2 linked regions of the Tribolium castaneum genome follow. The protein of the gene in region 1 purifies or fractionates together with the protein of each later gene. This does not show direct contact. Links are inferred from orthologs where the notes say so. Each region holds a gene or a part of one and is shown in the gene's direction. Other genes may lie near its edges.

Region 1 (3,546 bases):
AGAGTGGAATTTACCACCTGAGGAGCTTGAAACTTTCAACAACGACGCACAGAAAGTACGGACAAAGGCAGATGAGATTTATAAGAAATTCAAATCGGTTTGTAAATTACCGGCGGGGTCTGTTAACTTTTGGGACGGTTTCAATGACATTGTTAGGAAATTTAGGGAGGATTGCATCCATTTGAATAATAGGGAAGTTTTTGTTTTGTGTGCCGAGCCATGTAAGTTTGTTTTATTTAGAAATTTTCTTAGTTGTAATAAAATTACAGATTCGCGTCAAGCTATTATTGACCGACTTGAGCAGGAAGAAGAATTACAAGAGGCTGATATTCACCGTCCGGTTGATAGTGAAATTGAGAAAGTTGGTAAGGCATTAAGTGAATCATAGGATATTCAAATAACTCGCTTGTTCTAGCAGACGTTCAGTAGTGTTGCAAGTAATACATAAAGAAGAGTTTTTTAGTTTATTATTATTTTTTTTTTGTTAAAATATGTATGTTTAAACACTTTTCAATATAAAACATTATTTACGATCACGTCTACTTTCACTCCTGTCTCTCCTACTCCTTTCCCGCCTCTCTTTTATCTCCAAACTGATGGGTTTTTTGAAGGGTCGATCACGGCCACCGAACCGCAACTGTCCGGACTCCTTTTTCCCACCAAAGCCGCCTCCAAGTCGTCTCGGTCGCCACCCCTTTAATAACCTCTCACATTCAAAATCTACGAAAATTATGTTTCCATCAATATTCATTTTATTCGCTTTACAATACGCTTCCTCAGCGTCGAGCTCATTTTCGTATTCGATGAAAGCGTAGCCTTTGGGCATCCCTGTGACTATGTCTTTAACTAAACGAAATCGGCGCAAAGGGCCATATTTGGAAAAAATGTCCTTAATTGTGTCTTTTGTGGTTTTGAGACTAAGACGGCTGACGAAAATTGTGCACTCGGGACGGCCTTTAACGTGGCGGTTGGGGTGGTATTCGGAATTTAGGGCTCGGACGATGCCTTTGTCGTGGGGCTCCGTGTCGGTGCCGTCGATGGAACCAATTTTTATCGGGTCGTAATATTTGGCAAAACGGGACCATGAAGTGTCCGAAGAGTCCTAAATTATTTAAATAGAAATGAAATAAAGTTTGTTTATAACTTACGCTCATCGTCTTGTTTGAAAAAAATTAGGTTAAACAACTGTCACCTGTCAGAACCTTGCCATATGTGTCCGCATGAGTGTCTGGTCGAAATATTCAATTTTTTTTTAACAATAGTTTATTTTTACTTTGTACATGTACAAATTTCAAAATTGCAGCTAACGTAATGCCATCACTTGTTTGTGATAAGCTACGATTAGTTATTTTGTGTGTGGATCGCATAATTTTGGTTTCGAACTTAATAGCTTTCATGTGCCTTAGAAAAGAGTGTAGTGACGGAATCGTGACAGAATAATATAACCTCCAAATATAAAAACGTGTCTGGTTTTAATTTCTCCTAAAATGAAAAAGAAATCGACTGGAACTTTAGCTGATAAGATAGCAGGTATTTTGAATACCGCCCCTTCGAGTATTGACCCTGAAGATGAGGTTGATGACGCCACGGTTGCAAAAGTTGTGGAAGACGATGTTGAAGAAAACGAACAAGAAGATGAAATTTTGAGCAAATTTCGTCAAAAAAACATTGACCTGTTAGCTGATTTAGATGAGAAGTATGCCGGAAAAAAGACCAGTCGGAAGAATTTGAGGGATTCCGATTCAGAGGGTTTGTTACAAATGTTTGGTTTTAAAATTCTTGTGCTCAAAAGTTACTTTACAGACGCATCGCTGGGAAGTTTGGACGATAAGGAAGAAGAAGAAGAAGAAACTGAAACAAAAGGCAGTGCGAGCGAGAGCGAGGACGTGGAAGAAGAATCGTCTCAAGAAGACTCTGAAGGTCCAGAATCAAATGGTCTGCTTGGTTTCTTTTTTTTTGGCAGGACAAACGTTAAAATTTTATTTTTGCAGAAGATTTATCAGAAGATGATGGGGAGTTGTCGGAAAATGATAACACTGAAGAGAATTTCAAACACATTTCGGACACGAATGTTTCAAAACAAATTAAAAAAGGGCTTTGTGTGAGAAACCAAATGGCAATGTGGGAAAACCTCCTAGAAGTACGAATCCAACTCCAAAAATGTCTCTTGACTGCCAATAAAATGCCACAACCCGAGAAGTTTAAAGAAATCAAACAATCTGATCCCGATTTTTCCAATAAAGTTAATGAGACAAAAAACAAATTATGTGATGTCTTAGATAAACTACTATTGTTACAAAAATTGCTGTATAAACAGTATCCTGAAACAAAAAATTTGGATCAGACAAGCGCTCAAAGTGAAAAAGTTGAAGATCCTGATGATGAAGAAATTCCAAGTGATACAGATGTTGAAGAATCAGGCGGCGAAGAAGAAATTGTAAGCGATACTCCCAAGAAGAAACGAAAATTAGAATATTACGAAAGCGAAATTTTCGAAAAACACAAAAAATACAAAGATTACAGAAACAACATCATACAGAAATGGAACGACAAAACGCGCGTTGTGGTCAAAGGGGGCACCACTTCGCACTCAGTTCTAGACCAGATTGAATACAATTTGAGTAACAAAGATAAGCTTATCAAGAAAACGCAACTCAAGCGTTCCCAGTACTCCATCCTAGGTGAAGAAGAAACAGAAGATAGAAACAGTGAGGAGTACAATAGCGAGATTTTTGATGACGACGATTTCTACCATCAGCTTTTGCGCGAACTAATTGAAGTCAAGTCAGCCGACGTCAGCGATCCAGTGCAGTTAAGTCGCCAGTGGATTCAGTTACAGAATCTAAGGAGCAAAATGAAGCGAAAAATCGACACAAGAGCTACAAAGGGACGCAAAATACGATATGCTGTACACAGCAAACTGGTTAATTTTATGGCGCCCATTGATGGGAATTTATGGACAGATGACGCGAAAAATGAGTTGTATAGCTCGCTCTTTGGCAAAAATAAAACTGCATCTAATTTATAAAATAAATTGTTTTATAAATCCTTGTTTTTATTGAGTCATTACTCATTATCCCCCTTACATAAAGAGATTTTTTATAAAAAACACAACCTCCGACTCATTGTTTTGAAATAATTCTTATATTATAATGGGTGCAAGCTTGATAATAGCATTATACGCAGTCGTTGCACACTGCCTTTGTTCTTCGCTTTCGTAGTTCCACCTTTTACTTTAAAAATAATTGTTGGAATTTACCTTTTAAATTAACATAATTTTATAACTATAACATATGAGGTTTTTTTTTGTGTCTCATCCGTCATGTATTTCTTTTTCCTGCTCGTATTTGAAATTTTACATATGTCGCTCCCACTGAAGTTTGCAAATAGTTTGACTGATACAAAGCTCCTATAAAGGAAAAGTCACTTCCCTGATTCTGTTGATAAATTTTGAAAAAAAATCTAAAATTGGGGCAGTGTCCCGCACGTTAAAATGGAATGGCTAATAAGCTGCTTTTTCTTTTATTTCAAAAATTTATGAGACGA
Region 2 (4,141 bases), on another chromosome or scaffold:
GCATATGATGTAACAACAACACCAGAGACGGGAGAAAAGCTAAGTGAATTGTGTAATCTATCTGTTGAACTAGCGAAGACAAAGTTTAAGACTGAAATTTATGCTGTCGTTAGCGATAATGCAGCAAACATGTTGAAAATGGGAAAATTGACGAGTGATTTAATGCATACTACTTGCAATAGTCACACAGGAAATCTTCTTGCCAAAGACTTAATTTCCAAAGAATTATGTTCCAAAGTAATCACTATCTTAAAAGAATTTAAACATCCTAATCTCGAAAAGGAGCTGCAAAGTCAGGGAGGATCAAAGATAAAATTAGCTGTCGATACTCGGTGGTGTACCTATAGAGACTCATTTTCTTGCTTGATCAAAAATTTAAAATTTATGAAAAAACTTGCGGCAGAAGAAACTATAAAACTTAAACAAGAAATAATTCAGTTACTATTTGACGATGAGTTCATCGATGAAGTTAAAACAACAATTGAAGTATCTAACCCGGTTTGCAAATTAATTAATGAGTGTCAGTCTAGCAGCTGCACTATTGCCGATGCTTGTGAGAAATGGACTCATTTACAACTGCCTGCGGAGTTTGAAGATGTTTTGAAAAGAAGAAGAGACATGGCGCTAAATATTTACTCTTTAACATCAAATTTTCTTCATCCTCTTTATAGAGGAAGGTCTTTGAATCAAACCCAGGTTGATATGGTCCATGACTATTTGGTAGCTACTTTAAGTGCAGAAGGTTTAATGAGTTTTCACCAATTTTGTTCTTCGGAAGATATTTTTGAAACCTTAGAACGTAAAAACATTTGTTGCCCAAAAGTTTTTTGGGGATTGGCCGAGAGAAAGCACCCAGAGTTGGCTAGTGTAGCTTTAAAACTTATCAATATACCAGCCAGCTCAGCTTCCTTGGAGCGTGTGTTTAGTAATTGGGCATTTATTCACAATGATTTGAGAAATCGTTTGGATGCTGATCATTCGAGAAAAATAATGCATTGTTATTACTCCCTGAAGATGCGGGAAAGTAACGAAGTCAGTTAAAAAAGAAACATTGGTTGTGTTTTTTTCCTCGAGATTAATTCTTTTATTTTGTTTTTTGAGAATAGACTTTATTTTGTTTTTTTGAGAATAGACTTTATTTATTTTTTTTTTGAGAATAGATTTTATTTTTTGTTTATTACTAATCTGTTTTGCCAAATAAAGAAAATAATAGAAAATTGTCTTGTTTTACTGTTTACTGACTACAATTTCTGATGGTAAAAGAACTTACTTAATTAATAATGATATGTATTTAGTAATAGAACATTTTTGATTCATTTTTCTCTTCTTGAGAACAAATAAATGCTACCAAATTTTGACGTAAAAAATAGTGTAATTTTTCGGTAATTTATTTGGATTGATGACGTAGAAAATGTGCAAAAACTACGCGTCGTTATACTGTAGAACGACGTTTCAATATCTACGTCACAACCCTGGTCACAAGCCGTACCCCCACCCTTCCGATATCGTTGATCAAAAAAGCTCCCTTCAATATAAAAGTTGTGCACGTGCTGAGCTTATTTTTACAAAATTTACGCGTTGTTATGTATTTTTAAGTTACGAAATCGACGGATCAAAATGGTTCAGGTACGTATCGAGTGTTTTCCGTAACAAAAAGTGGTGAAAACGTGTCGAAAAGCGCGCTTTTTCGGCGTAAAAACTACCCTCGATTTTTTCTGTCAAGCTTTTGATATAAAAGATGGCGAACAGATTTTTATGCAAATGGAGCCCATTTTTCATCTCGATGAAAATTCATAATTCGCGAGAAAATTTTTCCGGCTTTCGGGACGGAAACGCGGGACTTTTCTAACCTAGAATTTAAACAAAATAAATGATTTTTGCATGGTTTTGGGTTTTAGGCACCGGATGTTAGTATCGGGCACCGGGATTTTCCCCAGGCGTTAGTTTTGCTAAATGAAATGAATGTGAGTGCACAACACGTCGCCTCGTTGGTTGATAACATGATTCAGAAGGTGCGGAAGGGAGAATTATCAACAGATCAGGGTCTTAGCTTTCTAGAAATGAAGTACAACATGTTGTTGAGTTATTTGATCAACTTGACTTTCGTGGTCTTGCGGAAATGTTCAGGGGAAAAAATTGAAGGGGACCCGTGTATTGATAGATTAATCGAAATCAGGACTGTACTTGAGAAAATCAGGCCCATTGATCACAAGCTCAAGTACCAGATTGATAAACTCGTCAAGACTGCCGTTACGGGAACCAACGCCAACGACCCGACCACGTTTAGGGCAAACCCTGACAATCTCATTGACCATTCGGAAAGTGAGGAAGAATTAGAAAAAAACACGGGAGAAAAGGGCAAAAGCGACATCTATGTACCTCCAAAACTATCCGCAGTTCACTATATGGGTAATTACTTGATTAAAAATCTTGATTCAGTTAATGATTTTGCGACAAATAGGTGACGAAACGGCACAAGAGCGCACTAAAAGGTTGCAAGAACGCACGAAGAAGCACATGTTGTCCTCTTCCATAATGCAAGACTTGCGGGAGGAGTATCTGGATGCGCCAATCGAGGTGTCTCAGACCAGCCGCGCTCAGCAAATCCTGTCCAAGCAGCAGAAGGAGAAGGAGGAGTACGAGGAGGAGTACATGACTCGCCTCCCCGTCAGCAAATCAGAGAAGCACAAACGCCGTCAGCTGACCACTCTGGGCAGTCTCGGTGACGAAATCACCGACTTTGGCCCCTCCCCCAGCTCCGCCGGCAAAAGGAAAAGGAAACGTCCGATCAAATCAAAAGGGAAGAGTTTCAAACGGAAACGATTCCATTGATTAGTTGGGTCGTCCCGACCGATCATTAAATCAAGAGCTTGAAACCCCAGTTGCCTATGGTGACCTTATGATTTTCAAACGTTTTCTCATTGTCAAATTCAAAATTGTCTAGATTAGGGTTAATGGTTGTGTTCTTTGTTTTTCGTGTACTAGGATTTTGGCATGCACTTTGGATGTTTTTCAAACTGAGTTCGTTATAGACGTCATAATATAGACTGAAAGTATTTTTACATGATGTTATCAAACTGTTGCGCTACATTCTCACGTTACAGACTGTAATGGAACAGTGAATTAATTTTTGTACTTGGACGTAGGTTCTCGTAAAATTGTCTCGGGTGGGACTGCGTTTTGAGTACGTTCCCGATTGCCTTGTACAGGTTATATTTATCGTTGTTAACGTTAACCACAGTTTATTTTTCAGACTGGATTATCGGTTGTTGAAATATTAAGACAATTGCAGTTTTCGGTTAGTTTTCACGTTGTTAAACATTTTTTTATTGTTGGCTTTTTATTTTGTTAGGTTTGCTACATTGCCACAGTTCAGGTGGGTTTTTTACGTCTCGTCTTGTGTTTTAGTTGTAGTGATATGTTATTAACTAGATATAAAAATGTATTCAGTAGCTCATGTCCTTTGGTGTACTCGTATTTCGTAGAATATTTAGGTATGCTACTGAAAGTGACAAAAATTCTCAGCTCAAAAATTTATTAATAATGTATCGTCATAGGTTATAAGTTTATGGCTTTAATCAGTTTCATTATACATTCTTTATTTGTAGACATGAATTTTTTTAATATATATTTTTTTCTTATTGAGAGTTTGTGTTTTCCCCAGTCATCGGATTGTAAGAAGCTGTGCGAAAACCCTTATATTTCTGCAATTCGCAAGTTTCTCGCCCAAAACTATCACCGTAGAATTTTTCACTGCTAAGATCGGGCGGTTCGTGGCGATATTTCTGATTCCGCATAAACGGAATTTTCGGAAAAGCCAGCTACAACTCGTAATCAAGACTAGTTTTTTCCCCCCATAAAATTACCCTTTGCATAACATACGGACGCGGCACTTGATAACTGTGCTGCATGGTGGTCAAATATTCATCAGCACATATCGTGCGACACTGACTTTCCGGATATTCCGTCAAACATTCGGCATTTCTGCAAAAAACCCGTAAAAAGTGCCCCAATATGAATTCATCAATACTCGTTGAAAGTGTAAAAACTCTTCATTCTTTTGGTCCGATAAATTCTGTCTTTGATGAAGACTTGTTGTAACATGTCCCCGGTCGTGGTCCTGAACGAGTTATCATCGTTT

The links. Proteins that work in one complex are often made in the same cells at the same time.
Region 2: the proteins of protein AATF (region 1) and neuroguidin purify together in Homo sapiens (affinity purification with mass spectrometry; 3 studies listed by BioGRID and IntAct, with this or other methods). This does not show direct contact. The link is inferred for Tribolium castaneum from reciprocal best matches to the Homo sapiens genes AATF and NGDN.

The regions. Positions count from the first base shown.
Region 1 is NC_087396.1:16,779,539-16,783,084, reverse strand, and holds protein AATF, read left to right. Parts: upstream 1-1,487; coding exon 1,488-1,749; intron 1,750-1,803; coding exon 1,804-1,935; intron 1,936-1,991; coding exon 1,992-3,028; 3' UTR 3,029-3,046; downstream 3,047-3,546. Other genes in the region: uncharacterized protein Jasper, read left to right, coding at 1-221, 270-365, 416-429; U11/U12 small nuclear ribonucleoprotein 35 kDa protein, read right to left, coding at 524-1,102, 1,149-1,154. UniProt on the Homo sapiens protein: Part of the small subunit (SSU) processome, first precursor of the small eukaryotic ribosomal subunit.
Region 2 is NC_087398.1:5,108,969-5,113,109, reverse strand, and holds neuroguidin, read left to right. Parts: upstream 1-1,478; 5' UTR 1,479-1,617; coding exon 1,618-1,626; intron 1,627-1,898; coding exon 1,899-2,409; intron 2,410-2,461; coding exon 2,462-2,832; 3' UTR 2,833-3,638; downstream 3,639-4,141. Other genes in the region: uncharacterized protein LOC103313152, read right to left, coding at 3,639-3,821, 3,867-3,984, 4,031-4,141. UniProt on the Homo sapiens protein: Part of the small subunit (SSU) processome, first precursor of the small eukaryotic ribosomal subunit.